4 linked regions of the Sus scrofa genome follow. The protein of the gene in region 1 purifies or fractionates together with the protein of each later gene. This does not show direct contact. Links are inferred from orthologs where the notes say so. Each region holds a gene or a part of one and is shown in the gene's direction. Other genes may lie near its edges.

Evidence for each region. Proteins that work in one complex are often made in the same cells at the same time.
Region 2: the proteins of AAR2 (region 1) and ZNHIT2 purify together in Homo sapiens (affinity purification with mass spectrometry; 3 studies listed by BioGRID and IntAct, counting the BioPlex papers as one, with this or other methods). This does not show direct contact. The link is inferred for Sus scrofa from reciprocal best matches to the Homo sapiens genes AAR2 and ZNHIT2.
Region 3: the proteins of AAR2 (region 1) and EAPP purify together in Homo sapiens (affinity purification with mass spectrometry; 4 studies listed by BioGRID and IntAct, counting the BioPlex papers as one, with this or other methods). This does not show direct contact. The link is inferred for Sus scrofa from reciprocal best matches to the Homo sapiens genes AAR2 and EAPP.
Region 4: the proteins of AAR2 (region 1) and ECD purify together in Homo sapiens (affinity purification with mass spectrometry; 3 studies listed by BioGRID and IntAct, counting the BioPlex papers as one, with this or other methods). This does not show direct contact. The link is inferred for Sus scrofa from reciprocal best matches to the Homo sapiens genes AAR2 and ECD.

The regions. Positions count from the first base shown.
Region 1 is NC_010459.5:39,497,229-39,501,798, forward strand, and holds the start of AAR2 (protein AAR2 homolog), read left to right. Parts: upstream 1-1,470; 5' UTR 1,471-1,763; exon of another isoform or gene 1,764-2,246; intron 2,247-4,570. UniProt on the Homo sapiens protein: Component of the U5 snRNP complex that is required for spliceosome assembly and for pre-mRNA splicing.
Region 2 is NC_010444.4:7,073,033-7,077,575, forward strand, and holds ZNHIT2 (zinc finger HIT domain-containing protein 2), read left to right. Parts: upstream 1-1,624; 5' UTR 1,625-1,994; coding exon 1,995-3,566; 3' UTR 3,567-3,625; downstream 3,626-4,543. Other genes in the region: TM7SF2 (delta(14)-sterol reductase), read right to left, coding at 3,986-4,146, 4,430-4,543. UniProt on the Homo sapiens protein: May act as a bridging factor mediating the interaction between the R2TP/Prefoldin-like (R2TP/PFDL) complex and U5 small nuclear ribonucleoprotein (U5 snRNP).
Region 3 is NC_010449.5:65,238,836-65,243,426, forward strand, and holds the start of EAPP (E2F-associated phosphoprotein), read left to right. Parts: upstream 1-1,373; 5' UTR 1,374-1,481; coding exon 1,482-1,555; intron 1,556-4,591. UniProt on the Homo sapiens protein: May play an important role in the fine-tuning of both major E2F1 activities, the regulation of the cell-cycle and the induction of apoptosis. Promotes S-phase entry, and inhibits p14(ARP) expression.
Region 4 is NC_010456.5:75,989,405-75,994,211, reverse strand, and holds the start of ECD (protein ecdysoneless homolog), read left to right. Parts: upstream 1-1,589; 5' UTR 1,590-1,733; exon of another isoform or gene 1,734-2,020; intron 2,021-3,145; 5' UTR 3,146-3,158; coding exon 3,159-3,363; intron 3,364-4,807. Other genes in the region: protein FAM149B1, read right to left, coding at 1,307-1,353. UniProt on the Homo sapiens protein: Regulator of p53/TP53 stability and function. Inhibits MDM2-mediated degradation of p53/TP53 possibly by cooperating in part with TXNIP. May be involved transcriptional regulation. In vitro has intrinsic transactivation activity enhanced by EP300.

The DNA.
Region 1 (4,570 bases):
TAGCATATAGTGGGTAAAGACCAGGGATGCTGCTAACCATCCTACAATGCATAGGACAGCCACTTTACAACAAAGAATTAATCTGGTCCCAAATTTCAATAGTATGAAGGCTAAGAAACCTGATCTGGATGGACAGGCAACCTACCAGGTGGAATTTCTAAACTACCACCTAGAGCTTCTATGTCCACAGTTCAGTGCCCTGGAGTCTCAGAAGATAGCCCAGCTGGAATGAGGAGCTCTGAAAACAGACTGACCAAGCTCAGCATCTAAGAATGGGAATGGGAAGGGGTGGGGAGGGAGCTGATCCTCTTTATGCAGGAAATGGAACAGACACGCCAGGCTGTGAAGATTGACATGCATGGCTGTAACTGATGGAGGCCATCTCTGGTTAATCCTGCAGTTGCTCATTGTGATTAACCATGACTGCAGGGCCCGGTCTAGTCTATTACACACTAAGAGATGAATTTTGACTGAGACAGATTGGCATGTCCAGCTGTCACTGAGAAAGTGTGACAGACAAGCTAGGAAGCAGTAGCATGGGGACAAGAACAGCCAGTCAGAGCGTTGCATTCAAGCCCCACCACTCTCTGGCGGTGTAACTTCTGAGCCTCAGTTTTCTCTTCTGTACGTTTGGAATACTGTTTGCTTACTAGGGTTGTTCAAGGATTCGAAATCATATACCAAATGGTCTACCCTGTGCATTTTGGACTTAGCTAGCCAGCCCTCACAATTACATAAGCCAATTCCTTTCAATAAGTTCTTATACACCTCCTACTGGCTCTGCTTCTTTTGTTGAACTCTGATAGAACCACCCAGTACAGGGCTAGGCCCCAACATAAAAGTCACTAATTAATAAAGAATTATGGTCATTAATTAAATGCATAATATATGTATTGAGCTGGGTCTGTCTTTGTGCTAGTTTACAGGAAAACAAGGGTGAACAAGACAGGCTCCCTCCCTCAATGTGCATGTACAGCCTGACTGAGATAACACACTAGGCCTGCACTGCCAGAGGACACTGGGTGATTATGGCTGGAGGGACCAATGTAGTGACTACTGTGAGACTGGTTCTCTCTGGGCTGGGTTTCAGAAGTTCTCCCCTACAGCTGAGTATGGCTGGAAGCTGGGACCGTGATAACCGGCCAGCAGTGACACTGTCACTTGCATAGAGATTGGCTGACCAGGACCATGACTGAGCTCTGAGTGGCTACTGGGTAGCCATGACCTTGACCCCAAATTCAGAGACCTTGACTGATTGAGAACGAAAAACCATGTCTGGTGGAAGTGTTTCTGGAGCGGGATATAAAATGCATCGTTTGATGAATGTTATTATCCACAGTTCAGGAGCCAAAACCAGTAACTAAAAGTAGCGAAAGGCAACGTTTGATAAGGCGGAACCGGCAGCCACGGGCCATTCCTCCCGCGACCGAGGGATCCGCCCGGCTCCTTTCCGCGTTGCTCCCATCCGGCGCTAAAGCGGAAGAACTTCCGGTGGCTTCCGTGGTTTCTGAGCCGGGGGCAAGGTCCGAGTCTGTGAGTGCGGCCTCATGTCGTCTTTCAACTGCTCTGCTTTCGTTGTGTGTGGCTGGGCCGCTTCTCTTCCCGACTCGGGATCGGGGAGGGCCCTGAGCTAGGGCACCCAGCCGGGTCTGCGGCGTTCCTGTCTGTGGGCCGGTGGTGAGTCCCAACTGTCTCTGCGGGCCTTGCTCCCTGAGGAACCGGCGCTAGATAAACCGTCGCCCGGACTTCCTTGGGTACCCAGGGTAACTTGCTTTTTTCCTAACCTTAGGACTTGGGGGGCCTGGAAGCCTTGGCTCTGCTTGACTTGGTCCTGTCCTACTCTCTGTAACTTCGGATAAGATCTTTTTTCCAAACCAAGCCTTTGTTTCTCCTCTACAAAAAGCATATCATGCTTTTATTAAGTAAATGTTTACCAAGCGTCTAGTAAGTGCTAGACATAACAAAAAAACTTAAGTCTCCTGGAGGTGACAGCCCTTTATTAACATTTGCAGAATTGCTGCTCTGATAAGTGAAAGGACAGGGCACCATGAGAGTGTGTCATAGGAGACCTGACCTAGCCCCAGGTTAGGGAAACTTTGCTGAGAAGGTGACTGAGAAAGGTGATTTGAGAAAGAGGGAAGGGAAGAGTTTTCTATCCTCGGAAGCCTCCTGTTTGAAGGACTGAAAGGGGCCAGACTGAAGAGGAGTTGCCAGGGACCATGCCACGCAGGCCTTGAAGGTTTATGGTAAGAGTTTTGGTTTGCCAGGAGCCACATGGGGAGCTTATCAGAGAATGTTAAATGTGGGCGGTGACATGCTTAGATTGGCTCTTTGAGAAGGTCACTTCTGCTGTTGGAGAAGGGATTGGAGGAGCAGTCACTCTTTGGACAAGCCATATGGTAGCTTAGAGTAAGGAGGTGGTAGAAGTGGATGGATGTGACTTTCTGCATTCCAGGGCCTTTACTTAGTGCCAGGCCATGTGCCAGCTGCAGAAGACATAGTGAAGAGAACTACAGTTATGAAAATAGAATGAAAAGGAGTGTTGTTTTCAAGGAGGAGCACACAGATGCCACCAGCAAAGATAGTTAATTGATGAGCAATTATTCTAAATGCAATAACTGTTTATTATTATTATTATTATTTGTCTTTTTGCTATTTCTTGGGCCGCTCCTGCGCCATATGGAGATTCCCAGGCTAGGGGTCCAATCGGAGCTGTAGCCACTGGCCTACACCAGAGCCACAGCAACGCGGGATCCGAGCCGCGTCTGCGACCTACACCACAGCTCACGGCAACGCCGGATCGTTAACCCACTGAGCAAGGGCAGGGACCGAACCCGCAACCTTATGGTTCCTAGTCGGATTCATTAACCACTGTGCCACGACGGGAACTCCCAATAACTGTTTATTTAGCAAATATTTACTAAATACTTTCTGAATTCAATATTGGGAATAGGAAGATGAAGATAAATTATTCAGAGCAGTGGCTTTGAAACTTGACTGTGACCTACAGTAACAGATACATTTTATGTTGTGAGCAAGAGTCCATTACAAATACACAAAGCTTCAGAAAACAGTACTTAGCTTTACAACTTATAATGCACTCTGATTTTTAAAAATTCTGCCCTTTTATTTAAAAAGTTAATGCTTGTTGAGATCCTCTAAATTGATTTCTTAACCCAATAATGGATTATGACTTGCAGTTGAAAAAAAATGTGAGTTTAGAGTGAGAGTCATTCGTAGTGGTTTTTGGATTAAGACAATAAAATATGCCCTTAACATTTTTTGTTTTGTTTTGTTTTTGATTTTTTAGGGCTATACCCGCGCCATATGGAAGTTCCCAGGCTAGGGGTTGAATCGGAGCTACGGCTGTCGGCCTAGGCCACAGCAACATCAATGAGGGATGAGCACTGTCTATGATCTACACCACAACTCATGGCAATGCCAGATCCTCGATCCGCCTGAGCAAGGCCAGGGATTGAACCCACATCCTCATGGATACTAGTCCTTTCTTCTGTGCCACAAAGGGAATCCCCTGCACTTAACATTTTTGGAAAAGGGTTCTTTTCCTCACAGTTATTTTGTTTTGTTTGTTTAAAATGAATAAAAAGAATTAAACAGGCAGCTGATTCTTCTCTTTGTGAAGTTTTAGGGTCTTGTTTATATGTCTGGCTAGGTTGGAAGTTTCTAGATGGCAGTAACTTTTTACTTATTTTGCAAAAGCTTCTGTTGGTGCTCGGCGAAGATCCTGGCACAGTGCAGCCGCTCCAGGATTATTTATTGAATTGAATAGGTAGGTGTCTTGGGACTAGAAGGTTAGATAATGTTCTGTTTAGATTAGTTCATGTTGGAACAATTCTTATAAAGGTAGTGTCTGCTTACAGAAGTTTTATCACTGTGTCTTCATGGGTAGTTCAGAGGTAGATAACATAAATGTTCTCAGGTCTTTCTCTTCTAAATAGTGATTTGAGGCCAGTCAGGCTACCTGAATCCATTTTGGGTGAGTGGTCCAGAGCTGCCACTGACTGGACCCTTTGGGAAGTTGTTTCACTTCACTTTCACTATAGTTCACTCCCTGGACTTTAGGTTTTTATAAGTAAGAGGAGAAGGGGGTTGTGGTTGTGGTTGAAAACTTCTCCAGTACCCAAAACATTTGTGAATTTTAGTTACTAAGCACTCATTTTCCACCTTCTGTCCATTTCTGGGCTTTCCTTGGGGCTTATAGAAAACTGAGTGAGTAGATCTCAACTCTTCTGGGGACTTTCCAACAACAGGTTTTAGACAGGGTTCTAGTTTAAGACAGTTTAGGCAGAGTTATAAGAATGGACCATTCAGGCCTTCTCTGACTTCATCTTCTGTATGAGAAGGAGATCTGAGAGTAGATCCAGAGTGAATAGTGGAAAGAACATTGGCCTGGAGGGCAGGGTACCCAGATTCTAACTGGGTCCTTTTGTGAGCACGACACTTTCTGTAACATGTCTTTCTAGCTGTGAAGTGGGTGTTCGAAGTGAGTGTTCTTGCTCCTTAAACCAAGACACAAAAACCTTCTTCTCTTTGAGTCTCATTTTCTTCA
Region 2 (4,543 bases), on another chromosome or scaffold:
TGTTTCTAGAAGTGGGGTTCTCTGGGGTCGATTTAGGTTCCCTCCTAGCAATGCATGCATACCATTCAGAGTCTGCCGGTTCTTGGAATACGGCATGTTATGCGGTGAAGACTTTAGGCTCTAGACTTGAACTGTCTTGAGTTTGGATACTTGTTGCATTTATTTACTGGCATGAACTATTTAATCTCTGCCATCATCTCTTGAGAGTTGCTGTGAAGATTAAATTGTGTCAAGTGCTTAAATCCGAATCTGCCTGCCATGTAGAAAACACAAACATGTTGGTTATTTGTGTCTTTTGTAGTGATTGTTCTGGAAGATACTGGCCCCCATGCCTTCTAGGGGTTTAGCATGTTGTGGGGAAAACAAGGGAACTAAATACTTAAAAGTGTTACAGTTTCAAAGAAAAGTAGGCAGGGTGCTGTAATGAAGGGGAGTGTGAGGGCGGAGAGCTATACCCTATCTTTCGGGAGGTCTGAGGATGGGCTATGTGAGACCTGAAACAGGAGCCCATCAGGAAGTGAGATGGTGAGAGTTCAACCAAGAGAACTGTGTGCAAAGGTGTGTGCAGGTCTGCAGGGTCTTGTCAGACATGGAGAAGAGTTTGGGTTGGAGTCCCAAGTGCAATATAAAGTTACCAAGTGCAGGTAAGGGTTTTAACAAGGGTCTCGTGTGATCTGACTTGTCTAGTATTTTCTTTGGCTGACTTTTCTGGAGGGCTGGCAGGTAAGAAAATTAGGAAGCCAGTTAAGCTGATGCCATCCAATTGAGGAATAAGTAGCTTAGGCCACCAGTGGTGGAGGGGGTGCAAAAAATGAGCAGACTCCTCAAATCCATCCAGAACTTGGTGGGCAAATAAATGGGCCATGTTGAGATAAAGACAAGGAATTTCGAAGGCAGCCCAAAGGCAGGACTGGGTGTGAGTGAAGGACCACAGAACTAGAGCTTACTTTCAGGGGTGCCGTGGATCGAGGCACAGTTTGTGGGTCAGTCACTCCCCCACACCACTACCACAAACTAAGCTCTATTAGGACAGGTACCCTTTTGTATATGGTCGCACCCCAGTGCTGCTGCAGTCGGATTTCCTTTCTTCCTTTCTCTCTCTCTCCCCCTCCTTTCTTTCTCTTTTTCATTTTAGGGCCTCACCTGCAGCATATGAACATTTGGAGGTTCCTACCTGGGCTAGGGGTTGAATCAGAGCTGCAGCTGCTGGCCTACATCACAGCCAGAGCGACGCCAGAGCCAAGCCTATGGGACTTACGCTGCAGCTTAGCGCACGGCAATGCCGCATCATTAACCCACTGAGTGAGGCCAGCGATCTAACCAGCATCCTCATAGGTACTAGTTGAGCTCTTAACCCACTGAGCCACAACAGGAATTCCCTGCAGTCAAATTCTTAACCTACTGCACCACAGTGGGAACTCTCTGCCTTTTTGCTCCTCAGTGTGTTACCGGTGCCTAGCGTGGAGGGCAAAGTTAAGCAGGAGCTCAGATATTTGTTAATGTTGCTTTCTTAAAAGGCGAAATGTGCATGATAATGTGAGAAAATAAAATGTATACATGTATGTGTAACTGGGTCACCATGCTGTACAGTAGAAAAAAAAAATTGCATCAGGGAAATAATTTTTAAAAAATTTAAATGGAGTTCCCATTGTGGCACAGCAGAAGCGAATCCGACTAGGAACCATGAGGTTGTGGATTTGATCCCTGGCCTTGCTCAGTGGGTTAACAATCCAGCATTGCCGTGAGCTGTGGTGTAGGTGGCAGACGCGGTTCAGATCTGGCATTGCTGCTGCTCTGGCACAGACCAGCAGCTGCAGCTCTGATTAGACCCCTAGCTCAGGCAGGTGCAGCCCTTAAAAAAAAAAAAAAAAAAAAAGGACAAAAAAAAGGAGGGGGAAATGTCCCCAACACACACGCCCAGTCTAGACTAGGTGCCCCACTTCGGCCTTCCTTCCACTCCGCTTTGTGTCCAGCGCAGAGACGTCTCATCTCCAATGGGCTTGGCATATAATAGGTGCTCAGCAAAGATCGATTGGGTTTCGCCACAGCGATTTATCGTGCAAAAAAGGCAACCACTAGGGGGCGAGCTGGCACCACCAGAGCGCCCTGCGGGACGCACTACCTTTCCCAGCGCGCAGGGTGGGGCTCCGCGGGAGGCGTTGACGATGCTCGCAGCTCTCGCTCCTCCCCTAGCGCTGCTCGAGAGAGGGGTGGGGCTTGACTGCCGAGTGCGGGCGGAAACTGCCGAGAGTCCTCAGGGCTCCGACTCTGCGCTCCGTCGGCCCCGCGGAGGGGCGGAAGTAACCGAGAAGCGCCGGAAGTTTCCGATCCTGTGCGTTCCCGGGTGGCCTGCGGCGCCAGTTGCCATGGAGCCGGCCGGGCCCTGTGGTATCTGCCCGGCCGGGGAGGCCCAGCCGGCGCGCTACACCTGCCCTCGCTGTAATGTGCCCTACTGCTCGCTGCGCTGCTACCGGGCGCATGGCACCTGCGCTGAAGACTTCTACCGTGACCAGGTGCTGGGAGAGCTGCGCGGCCGCAGCGCCTCACCCAGCCGCCTGGCCAGCGCCCTGCGCCGGCTGCGTCAGCAACGCGAGACCGAGGATGAGCCCGAGGACGCAGGCCTCAGGCCTGGCCCGGCGCCCGGCGGCCTCTCAGGACTCTGGGAGCGGCTGGCCCCGGCCGAGAAGGCGGCTTTCGAGCGGCTGCTGAGCCGGGGCGAGGCCGGGCGGCTGCTGCCCCCGTGGCGGCCGTGGTGGTGGGGTCGTGGGGCCGGGCCGAGGCTTCTGGAGGAACTGGGTGATGCTCCGGGCCGTGACGCCGATGAGCTGGAGCCTGCCCCCGCGGGGTCGCCGCCGGAACCCGTCAAGGATGAGCCCGCGGCCGCCGGGCCGACTCCCGGAGACGCCCCCGGGGTCTGCGCGCCCGCCGTGCCCACCCGGATCCCCACACTGGCCAGCCTGAGCAGGGGCCGCGCGTCGCCGCTCGTGCGCTTCCAGCTGCCCAATGTGCTGTTCGCCTACGCACACACTCTGGCCCTGTATCACGGCGGCGACGAGGCGCTGCTCTCCGACTTCTGTGCCACGCTGCTCGGCGTTTCTGGAGCCCTGGGCGCCCAGCAAGTCTTCACCTCTGCCGAGGAAGCCCTGCAGGCCGCAGCCCATGTGCTGGAAGCAGGCGAGCATCCGCCCGGGCCCCTGGGCACACGGGGTGCCATGCGAGAAGCCGCCCGCATCTTGCTGGGTGAGGGCCCGGCCAACCAGAAAGGCTACACGCTGGCAGCCCTGGGGGACCTGGCTCAGACCCTGGGCCGGGCCCGGAAACAAGCCGTGGCCACCGAAGAGCGAGATCGCCTCTACCGGGCCCGAAAGAAGTGCCAGTTCCTGCTGGCTTGGACGAACGAAAATGAAGTGGCCCTCACACCGTTGGCTCTAGACTGTGCCAGGGCACACCGAGCCCACGCTGTCGCAGCCGAGGAGGTGGCAGCCCTCACTGGGGAGCTGGAGCAGCTTTGGGGAGGCCCCTTGCCACCTGCCCCCAGGACTCTCATTGAGGAGCTCCCGGGCTGAACTGGAGACACTCTGTCATTAATAAAACTGCGACTGGTCTGCCCTGTCACAGGTGCCCATTTCTGAGTGACAGCTGTTGTCCCAGCCACCCCCAGACTACCTCTCAGCTTCTCCCAGATCAGAGCTGACCCAGCTATTTCTTAAACAGCCTGGCCCCAGAAAGGAAGAGAAGCACCACCAAGGGTTCCAGATGTTTATCCAAGGGGGAAGAGCAGCCCCTCCACTCCGTTTTTGAGCATGGGCTTCATCTTGCCCTTGCTCCAACCCCCTGTCTGAGGCAGTTCACCGCTGCCTGTTGGAGCTCAGGGTGGGGTAGGGTGCCGGCCCTAAAGTCCCAGGCATGTCCAGGCCCCTGGTGCTGGGTGTGCTGGCAGATGGGCCTGCCTGCATATGCCCGGCCTGGGGTGCGTGGAGCTACTTCAGTAGACATAGGGCATGATTCGGTAGGGCACCCGCCGGCAGTATTCGTGCCAGGCCAAGCCATACTTCTGTAGACACTGCTGCTCATCGCGGGCCTCCCGGTGCACCAGCAGCGCAGTGAAGTAGAGGAGGTAGAAGTAGGGCAACAGGTGGGACACCCCTGGGGGGAGAGGGGTCTCTGACCACTCAGCCAGCCCCCCAGATCACAAAGGTTTCCACAGTTCATGGCTCACAGGGGCATCAGGGCTCAGTGGTGACAGGTCCAAGGGCTGCGGGGGTTGCTGATGACGCTAGGCTGTCACTGAGGTCTGCCACGCCAAGTCCATCCCCAGCCCCAACTACTCCCTCCATTCCACACCCCTCTCGGGCATCCTGTGGTACCCCTCTGCCTCTGCCCCACACATGCCTGCGGCCCTTGCCGGGGGCCCACCCAAGCCACTCACCGCAGGGCAGGGACCAGGCCAGAGCCATGATGAGGTCTCCAAGGTAGTTGGGATGGCGGACCATACCCCACCATCCGGACACCAGCAGCTGTCGCCCTGTGGCTGTAGGGATGG
Region 3 (4,591 bases), on another chromosome or scaffold:
GGACCTGGGGCTCATGGAGGGGCAGAGAAATGAATCAATCAGTTCCAAGACTTCTGGTCTATGGCACTTGTGAGGATGGAGGAAGCAGCCAAGGGCAGAAATTTTTTTTTTTAAATATACGACTTTTTTTTTTTTTTGCTTTTTAGGGCGATATTTGCCGCATATGGAAGTTCCCAGGCTAGGGGTCTAATTGGAGTTACAGCTGCCGGCCTACACCACACCCACAGCAAAGCAGGATCTGAGCAGTCTCTGAGACCTATACCATCGCTCATCATAGCTCATGGCAACCCCCATCCCCGACCCACTGAGCGAGGCCAGGGATTGAACCCACATCCTTCAGGGATACTGCTCAAATTGTTTCCTCTGCCCCCAACAGGAACTTCCAAAGGCAGAAACTGGGTCATAGGTAGCTATTTGTGAGGTATAAGAATGGGATGGAAAGATGCTGAGCTGAGTTGGGCTGCACTGACTGAATTGTCAGCGCTGCAACAGGCGGAGATATGGAGCAAAGCAATTGGAAAACCGGCAGTGCATGGGGGAGAAGGCAAAGATTAAATAAGACCGGGTAGTCATCTGATTAGAATCAAGAAGAGGGGAGAGCTGTTGGTAAGGAGGCAGGCCTGGAGTATAGGCCTACAGAAAAAGGGGAGGAAAATGTCTTTTTTGGTTTTTTGTCTTTTAGGGCCTCACCCACGGCATATGGAGGTTCCCAGGCTAGGGGTCCAATTAGAGTTACAGCCGCCAGCCTAGGCCACAGTTACAGCAACGCGGAATCCGAGCCCCATCTGCGACCTACACCACAGCTCACTGCAACGACAGATTCTTAAAGCACTAAGCGAGGCCAGGGATCGAACCTGCAACCTCATAGTTCCTAGTCACACTCCTTTCCGCTGCGCCACAATGGGAACTTCTTTCTTTCTTTCGGGACGGAAAAGAGGCCAAGTAAAGGCAATTACTTAGGTGACGACCTCGCAACTTTTCGGTAGGTAGTCGGTAGGGCAGAGGTCAGACTGAGAAGTGAGCAGTGTGAGGGAAAGGCAGTCTCACGTGAAAAGAAGGCATAAGGACTTCAGGAGAGAAGGTTGGGGACATCGGGTGCTACTGTCTGGAGACCTACTGGCCCCGATCTCAGGCTACAATTCCTCAGCACACAGATGTTGGCGTTTTCTCGTCATAACGTGACACACTGCAAGTACAGGGCTAATCTCAGAGACTGCCACTTCTGAGGGTGCCGACTGTAACTTCGTAATAATAATAATGAATAAGAAATAAGGAAGCGGGTTCCTAGGAAGCAGAAGCTGCAGGGCGCAGCAGCAGGACACTGGGACGCTCCCCTTTCCCCACCCCTTGCTGGGATGGTCTGCGCAAGCGCGCAGGAAGTGCTGGCGGAAGTGGTGTAGGAGCGCTTTAGGGAAGGGACCGGCGGAGTAAACAGATATCCTGTCGACGCCTGAGGACGGTGTTGGTGGGTGCAGGCCACCATGAACCGCCTCCAAGGTGACTACGACCCCTACGCAGTTGAAGAACCTAGCGACGAGGAACCGGCTTTGAGCAGGTGGGCCCCTGCCCCGCCCCGGCCCTCGAGGCTTCGACCCCCCCCCCTCAGTGCGCTTGCCGGGCAGGTGCAGACGCTCGGCCCGGCGGTTCGGACGCCCGTCGCTCCCTGCTGTCACCAGTGGGACGCCGAGGGGGTTCTGGTGTGTTCGCGCAGCCACCGGGGAGGCGGGGCCGACACACGCGCGGGGAAGGGGCGTATTCTGGAATTATGCGTAAGATTCAAAAGCTGTGAGATGGAATCTTGCTTCTGCATCTTACTAGCACTGTGACCGAAGGAAAGCACTTATCTTCGATTTCTCATCCATAAAAAGGAAGTATAGTAAGTATATCAGAGATATGTTAAGCTCACGGGACTTACTGTGAAGTGACCATCATGAAGAATAAACTGCTGTAAACAGAAATAAGGGAATATTTAACTTTTTTTTTGAGCATCTAATATATGCTTGGTTTGGGCGACATAGGTCAATCATAAGATTTTTTGTCTTCTATAGGCCTACGGTAAAGTAGGGGAAATAAGATACTTATTTTGGAAGATGTATGCTTGGGAAATAAATGTGTTTCTCCAAGAGTACTGTAGGAAAAGATGACCTCGGATAGTCACAGATTAAGTACCGTGGGAATTTCCAGGAGGGAGGGGTTAATCTTGTCTGGGGGAAATTTGCAGTTATGTTGACGAGAGATTTCCAGGCACTTTTAGCCATTTTTTAAAACTGTCAGAAGATCTTGTTCATAAACCTTATTATTTTTTACTTTTTAGGGCCGAACCTGCGGCATATGGAGGTTCCCAGACTAGGGGTCCAGTCGGAGCTACAGCTGCTGGCCCACGCTACAGCAACGCAGAATCTGAGCCTGTCTTCGAGCGACCTACACCACAGCTCGCGGCAACACCAGATCATTAACCCACTGAGCAAGGCTAGGGATCGAATATGAAACCTCATGGTTCCTAGTCGGGTTTGTTTCCGCCATGCCACAACTGGAACTCTCATTCATTAACTTTAAGACATTCTGTGGGACTAAGCTTTCCGTGAAACTGCCTTTCCTTTAGTTGCAGTGTTTACTTATGTTACCCTGTGGAGGGGTTAGAGGTATGGGAGGTTGAGCTGCTGTGAAGATTTCTGTTGTGGGGAGTGAGGATGGAGTCCAAGAATCAGGAGTTCCCATCATGGCTCAGTGGAAACGAATCCAACTAGGAACCATGGGGTTGAGGGTTCGATCCTTGGCCTCCCTCCGTGGGTTGTGGATCTAGTGCTGCCGTGAGCTGTGGTGTAGGTTGAAGACCTGGCTGGGATCTGATGTTGCTGTGGCTCTGGTGTAGGCTGGCGGCTACAGTTCTGATTAGACCCTAGCCTCGGAACCTCCATATGCTGTGGGTGTGGTCCTAAAGAGACAAAAAGACAAAAAAAAAAAAGAATTTCTTTCAGTTAATTTCACAGCCCAGTCTGTGAAAGGAGGCATATGAGGGCATCAATAAGTAATTCAGTTTGATAGCCATATAACAGTGTTTCCTGAACTTGAGTTATTCTGCCCTTGCCATCTCCATACTCATCCCTGTTATTATTTATTTTTTTCTTAAAGTCAGTTTACTTTTTTTGTGTGTTAAATTGTTTTTTTTTTTTTTTTGCTTTTTAGGGCTGCACCTGTGGCATATGGAAGTTCCCAGGCTAGGAGTTGAATCAGAGCTACAGCTGCCGGCCTATTGCCACAGCCACAGCAATGAGGGATCTGTGCTGCATCTGTGATCTGTACCACAGCTCATGGCAGTGCCAGATCCCTGACCCACTGAACGATGCCAGGGATTGAACCCGAATCCTTGTGGATACTAGTTGGCTTGTTTCCACTGCACTACAACAGGAACTCTGGTGTTAATTTTTTTTAAATTCACAAATTACGACTTAAAAAAGTTTTATGATTGCACCTGTTGCATATGAAAGTTCCGGGGCCAGGGATTGAATGCAAGATATAGCTGTGGCCACGCTGTCAGATTCTTTAACCCACTGTGACGGGCTGGGGATCGAACCCATCCCTCTGCAACCACCCAAGTCAGATTCTTAATCCACTGCACCACAGTGGGAACTCTCAGTTTACATTTTGTAGTTAAATTTCTTTTTAGGGCCACACCTGCAGCAAATGGATGTTCCCAGGCTAGGGGTCAAATCAGAGCTGTAGCTGGGGTCTCTGCCATAGCCACAGCAACACCAGTTCTGAGCCACATCTTCAACCTATGCCACAGCTTGTGGCAATGCCAGATTCTTAACCCATTGAGCCAGGGCAGGGATTGAACCCATATCCTCATGGATACCCATCTGTTTAGTAACCTGCTGAGCCACAACAGGAACTCCTGTAGTTAAATTTCTTTAAGGATGCTTTATATTCCCCTGACAGTTGCCGCTGGTAAGGTAATTGCTAACTGTAAAAATAAATACTGTGGAAACAAAACCGTGTTATTAGGCACTATTGCCCTACTCAGGGCTCTGAAATGAATGCTTGTTTTAAGAAGCGAGATTGTGTTAGAGGTGTTTAAGAGATGTCTATCAGGATTTGATTTTACCCTGCTTATAAGTGAATCTTTTATAGCCTGTTACTGTTTCACGGAAACCAGCAGAACATATGAGACTTCTGAGTTGGAGAGAACTCATAGCGTAGCAAGAAGCATGAGCATCATGTTTGTGTTAGTCACTCTTACTTCCCAACTCTTGTACGTGGAGAGGCCCAGATGGGTGCTACACATTCATTGGGTTGGTATCATGGTTTAGGACCATTTGCGCTTGGAGAATCTACCTCTTTTACAGCAGGTGGTGAATAAGCCACTAGATGCCAGTAGCTCCTCTCGCCTCCCAATTAAGACAATCAAATACATCTCTGACTGCACTGGGAACTATATCTGGTCACTTGTGATGGAGCATGATAATGTGAGAAAAAAGAATGTATACATGTATGTGTGACCGGGTCACCTCACTCTGCAGTAGAAAATTGACAGAACACTGTAAACCAGCTATAATGGAAAAAGTAAAAATCATTATTAAAAAAAAAGAAA
Region 4 (4,807 bases), on another chromosome or scaffold:
CCTAGTTCCTAAAAATCTTTATTATCTGAATTGCTTCTGTGTCCTGTCCTATTACTTAGATAATAAGCCTCTGAAAGGCAAGGAAAGATCACAGACTGATTTTCTTTGTATGACTACTGCACCAAATAAAGGTGGGAAGGAACAAGGAAATGACCATTTATTGAGGCCCTATTAAATGTCAAGCCCTATGCCATCATTTTAGACATGCTTTTAGATAAAGTCTTATTCCTATGTTATAGAAATGAAGGCTCAAAAAATTAGTAATTTGCCTAAAATTCAGAAGGCTAGAAAAGAGTCTAACCAGAAACCCAGGTGTGACTGAAAATACCATAGCTGTTATTACCATATATAATTAATATTTAATTAATAAATGTATGGTTGCTAAAATTACATACCTTAGTGGAGAAAAACAACAACTGGGATTTGGGGTTAAAAAGCCCAAGCTCAAAAACCTATTGGTTATATAATCTTAAGATGTGTACCTTTCTGATACTTCCTCTGCTGAAAATTGAAGATGGTCATATCCATCTTAAAGATTAAGATGTGAAAGTTTCTGAAAGTGTAAAGCATTAATAAATGTATGACATTATCATTACTTCCTAAATTACAACACTTCACTAAGTTGTTCAAGCTGGAAATATCTGTTCTCTAAAGTCTCAAAAGCAAACCTGATCCTGAGGATTCTGACTCTTCAACGCAGAGGTGGGGAGACAGTATGTAATGGTTATGACCACAAACTTCAGAATCAGACTGATAACGGGTCTATACTTCAGCTCCATCACCACCTAGCTGTGTGATCTTTGGCACGATACAACCTTCAGATCTGGGATCTTTATCTTGTAGGAAGTACAAAATAAGAGTTCCTATCTGGTATCCTTATTGATAGGATTAAGTAAGCTAATGCATGTAAGCGCTTCGCAGGGTGTTTGGCTTTAGACGTATTCAACTTTATTGTAGGACTCAGTTATTAATAACTTCACGAGTTGTTAGTGGCCATGGAAAGTGGGGCATGGAACACAACGGAAACTACAAATGCCTTAGGAAACCCAGTTCCTGAGCCCCGGGAGTGCAGCCCAAGAGGGTCAAGTCCTGGGATTGCACTGGTAACACGCTCTTAGCTGGAGATGGAGGTCTGGAGGGGCAACGTCCGGCAAGGCTAGGAGGAGAAAATTTCAAAGAATTTTTTCTTTCCCTCGCCCTGGGAAAGAAAAAGGAGCAAGGGACTGGTCAAGGAGGGTCCCCAGAGCGCCTGCGGCCCGCCACGGCTTCCCCCGGCCCCAGCTGGGTGGCTGAGCAGTCCACTCACAGCTCCAAGTTCTGAGGCACCGCCTTCCGTGTGTATCTGGAGATCATCCTCCTCTTCCTCCTCAGCCGCGGCCGGGGCGGCCAAGCCAGGGTGGGGGCCTCCGGGCCTGGCCCTCCCGCCAGCTCCGGCTCGGCCCCCTCCCGCCACCTTCCGGCCCCGTCACGCCCCGTCTCCTAGACTCCGGACCGCCACCACCCCAGGATCCCCACCTCTCCAGTCCTCTCCCCTCCCTGTTTCCCCGTGGGGGCGGAAGTGACGAACGCACAGGTGCAGCCGCCTAATACTCCCGCCGACACCTAGCAAAGGCGACGCTGGGAGTTCCGGAGCTGAGCCGGTTTCTGACTTAAGTTTCCGCTGGCTTCAGGTCCTAGACAAGCGTGTGGATCCAGTCAGAGCCGGGCTTTGGCTGCTGCTGGCAGCCCACGAGGTAGGAGAGAAGGCTGAGGAAAGGTGCCGCAGCAGGGACGTGAGGAAGAGGCCCAGGCTTTAGAACTGGAAGCGAAATTGGCTTCATTTTGTTGGATGAAGAAGGGACCCTTGTTTTGAGTAAAGAGCGCTAGAACCTAGTCCGGCCTCAGCTGCTTGGTTGCTTCTCCTGCCGTGCTCCCGGTTTCCTCATATGTACAGTGTGGAGTCAGTCTGAGTGATCTCAAAGTCCCTTCTAGCCTGACACTAAATTCTTCATAATAAGGTGTGCTTGGCATTCTGGGGTGGGTGAGTATTTATTATCTGTCAATCTGGACTGTAGTGAGTGTCTGGATAGAAGATGCAAGTTCCTCTCGACTTAGTTTTATTAGTTCCTTGGAAAACCAAATAAGCCTGAAAATCGAATCACAGCCTTAAAGTGGACCATCCAGTGCAATATCTTTCTTTAACAAGCCTCACCTGGCAGCAATAGTAAGCTAGTACTTTTGTCTGTAAGGGAAATCCTTAGAAAACAGTTATTTATACCCTCTGAGACCTGAAAAGGGGCGGAGGGCGGTGGTTTGGGACGGGTTGTTGTAGGATCAAGAGCCATGGGCAGATTATTTTGGGGTGAAATGATAGGATATAAATGTTTTGTAGTTTTGAATTCACCCATGATGTACAAGGGGAAAGATTTAAATTCTGCAGAGTAAGGGAGATTACTCTTAAGAGTGTTTAAACAATAAAAATTCAGGGAAGAAGTTCCCTGGTGGCTCAGGAGGTTAAATACAGCTGTGTCATGGGTTCAGTCACTGGCCTGAGAACTTATGCATGCTACAGGCATGGCAGGAAAGAAAGGAAGAACGAACGAACGAAAAGAAAGAAAGAAAGAAAGTAAAGAGAGAGAAAGAGAGGGAGAAGAGGATGAAGGGAGGAAAGTAGAGACGGATTTTAGAAATGATAAAATAACATTCTCATTCTACAATTAGGGGGAAGCCCCAGAAAGAGAAAATGAAATGCCCAGAATGACACAACTAGGACCAGTGGCAGAACTGGAATTTTTGTCAATATTTCAAGAGATGTTATTGCATTGTTTCTGACCGTGTGTTACATGCACCACTATTAGTGCAAAGGCAAACATTTTTTATTTCATTTTTACACGCTTATTAACTTGGGAATGCAGTACTAGATTTCCATTTACTGTATTGTATCAAAAGTTGCTTTCATATAATTGTAAGTATAAAAATGTCATTGAAAGAATTTTAATTAAATGCTATAATTGGTATGTGGTCAAGGCAAAAATCATGATGATTGTATGTGGATAACTGAATTTTGGAAAACAACATTAATGGAATTGCCTAGAATAGTTCAAGGAATGGGATATTACTTCTGCATTATTTTGTATGGTTTATATTATTGCCACTTTAAATGTAGCTTTCAAAGAAGAATGGAGGAAAATATGAAGCTTGCTACAGTGGAAGATACTGTAGAGTACCGCCTGTTCCTGATATCGGATGAACTAAGGGACCCAGAAAAACACAGAGAGATTCTTCAAAATTATATTGAGAAGATAATGACCCAGTTTGCACCTATGCTGGTCCCCTATATCTGGCAGAATCAGCCTTTCAATCTCAAATATAAACCTGGGAAAGGTGAGGCTCTTTCACTTATTTTGATTGGATATGTGTGATTTTTTAATGTCATTCTAACAACAGTGATGTATGATATTCATATTTCATTCAGTGTTGTCAGGAGATTTAGAGCCTGAACTTTTTAGATTAGTGATATTTGCCTATATTCAGTTAAGCCCTTGAACTTAAAAAAAAAAAAACTTTTTAAAATTAATATTGATGAAAATTAATAGTCATTACCTTAGGAACTAATATATACTCAATATTAATTAGCCATGGTTCTTCGTTTGAAATTTAATTACTTAATTATGCCATAATGTATCTAGGTACCTATACTAAACAGGTTCAAGCATGTGTCTTCCTTAACCATAGTTCTTTTAGCTGTTACTCTGTATTCCTCAGTCTTAACAGTGTGTGTATTAGGTTGCCTTGTTTCACGTAGTTATTTTAGTGAGGATCTAAGAGTGGCTCTGCCTGGGATTTACCACTGTGGCACAATGGGATTGGTGGTGTTTCTGGAGTGGTGGGGCGAAGTTTCAGTGCCCAGCCTGGCACAGTGGGGAAGTGCTGCTGCTGAAGCTGTGGCATAGGTCACAGCTGTGGCTCACATCTGATCCCAGGTCCAAGAACTCCATATGCTGCTGGGAGTCCAAAAAAGAAAATAAATAAATAAATAAATAAACATTTTTTAAAAGTTTAAAAAAATTAGAGTGGCTCTGCCTGGCTGCTAAAGAGAAATAATTGAACTAAATGACCATTATCGGCCCACTCAGAAGTATTTTGAGTTTCCTTCACTGATTTCCTGTGTTGTCAGTGCTTGAGATCTGACCTCTGGCCCAGTAGGGCATTTTGCCCTGTCATTTCTTATAACTTCACTAAAAATGAATTATGGAGAGGTGACCAAGGCTCTACTCATGCAGCGACTTATGTAGGGTCTTGTTTCAGATCTGACGTCTTATGATACCGTCCTTCTGGCTCTTAATTTAGTGCATATCTGCTTATTTTTTGGTTAGCAGTTGCTGGATGTCTTCCCTGCTGTTAATTTTATTGAACTCCTATTCACAGAAACACGTGATATTTATTGGCAAGAATATTGTCACATTAGCACTGCACATCCAAAGCCAATTCCTTATATTTTTTTCTAGAAAATTATTTTTACAGGGTGTTCTTATCTTGCTTAATGGCATTGCTATCCATGTAGCTGTCAAGCTCATTAGTAATTCAAAATCATACTCAACTACTCACTTCACTCTATTCAGTCAGGCACTAAAGCTCAAATCCTCATGTTATTACTCCTCAAATATGGCTCCTTTTATACACCTGGTTACGGTCTAGACCCTCTGTAGATCTGAAAGACTGCGGTGGTCACCTAACTTCTTTGGTTCCAGTGTCTCCAGTTCCTGACACTGTTGCCAGTTACAACATCAATTTGATTATGTCACTCTCCTGCCTAATACCCTTTAAC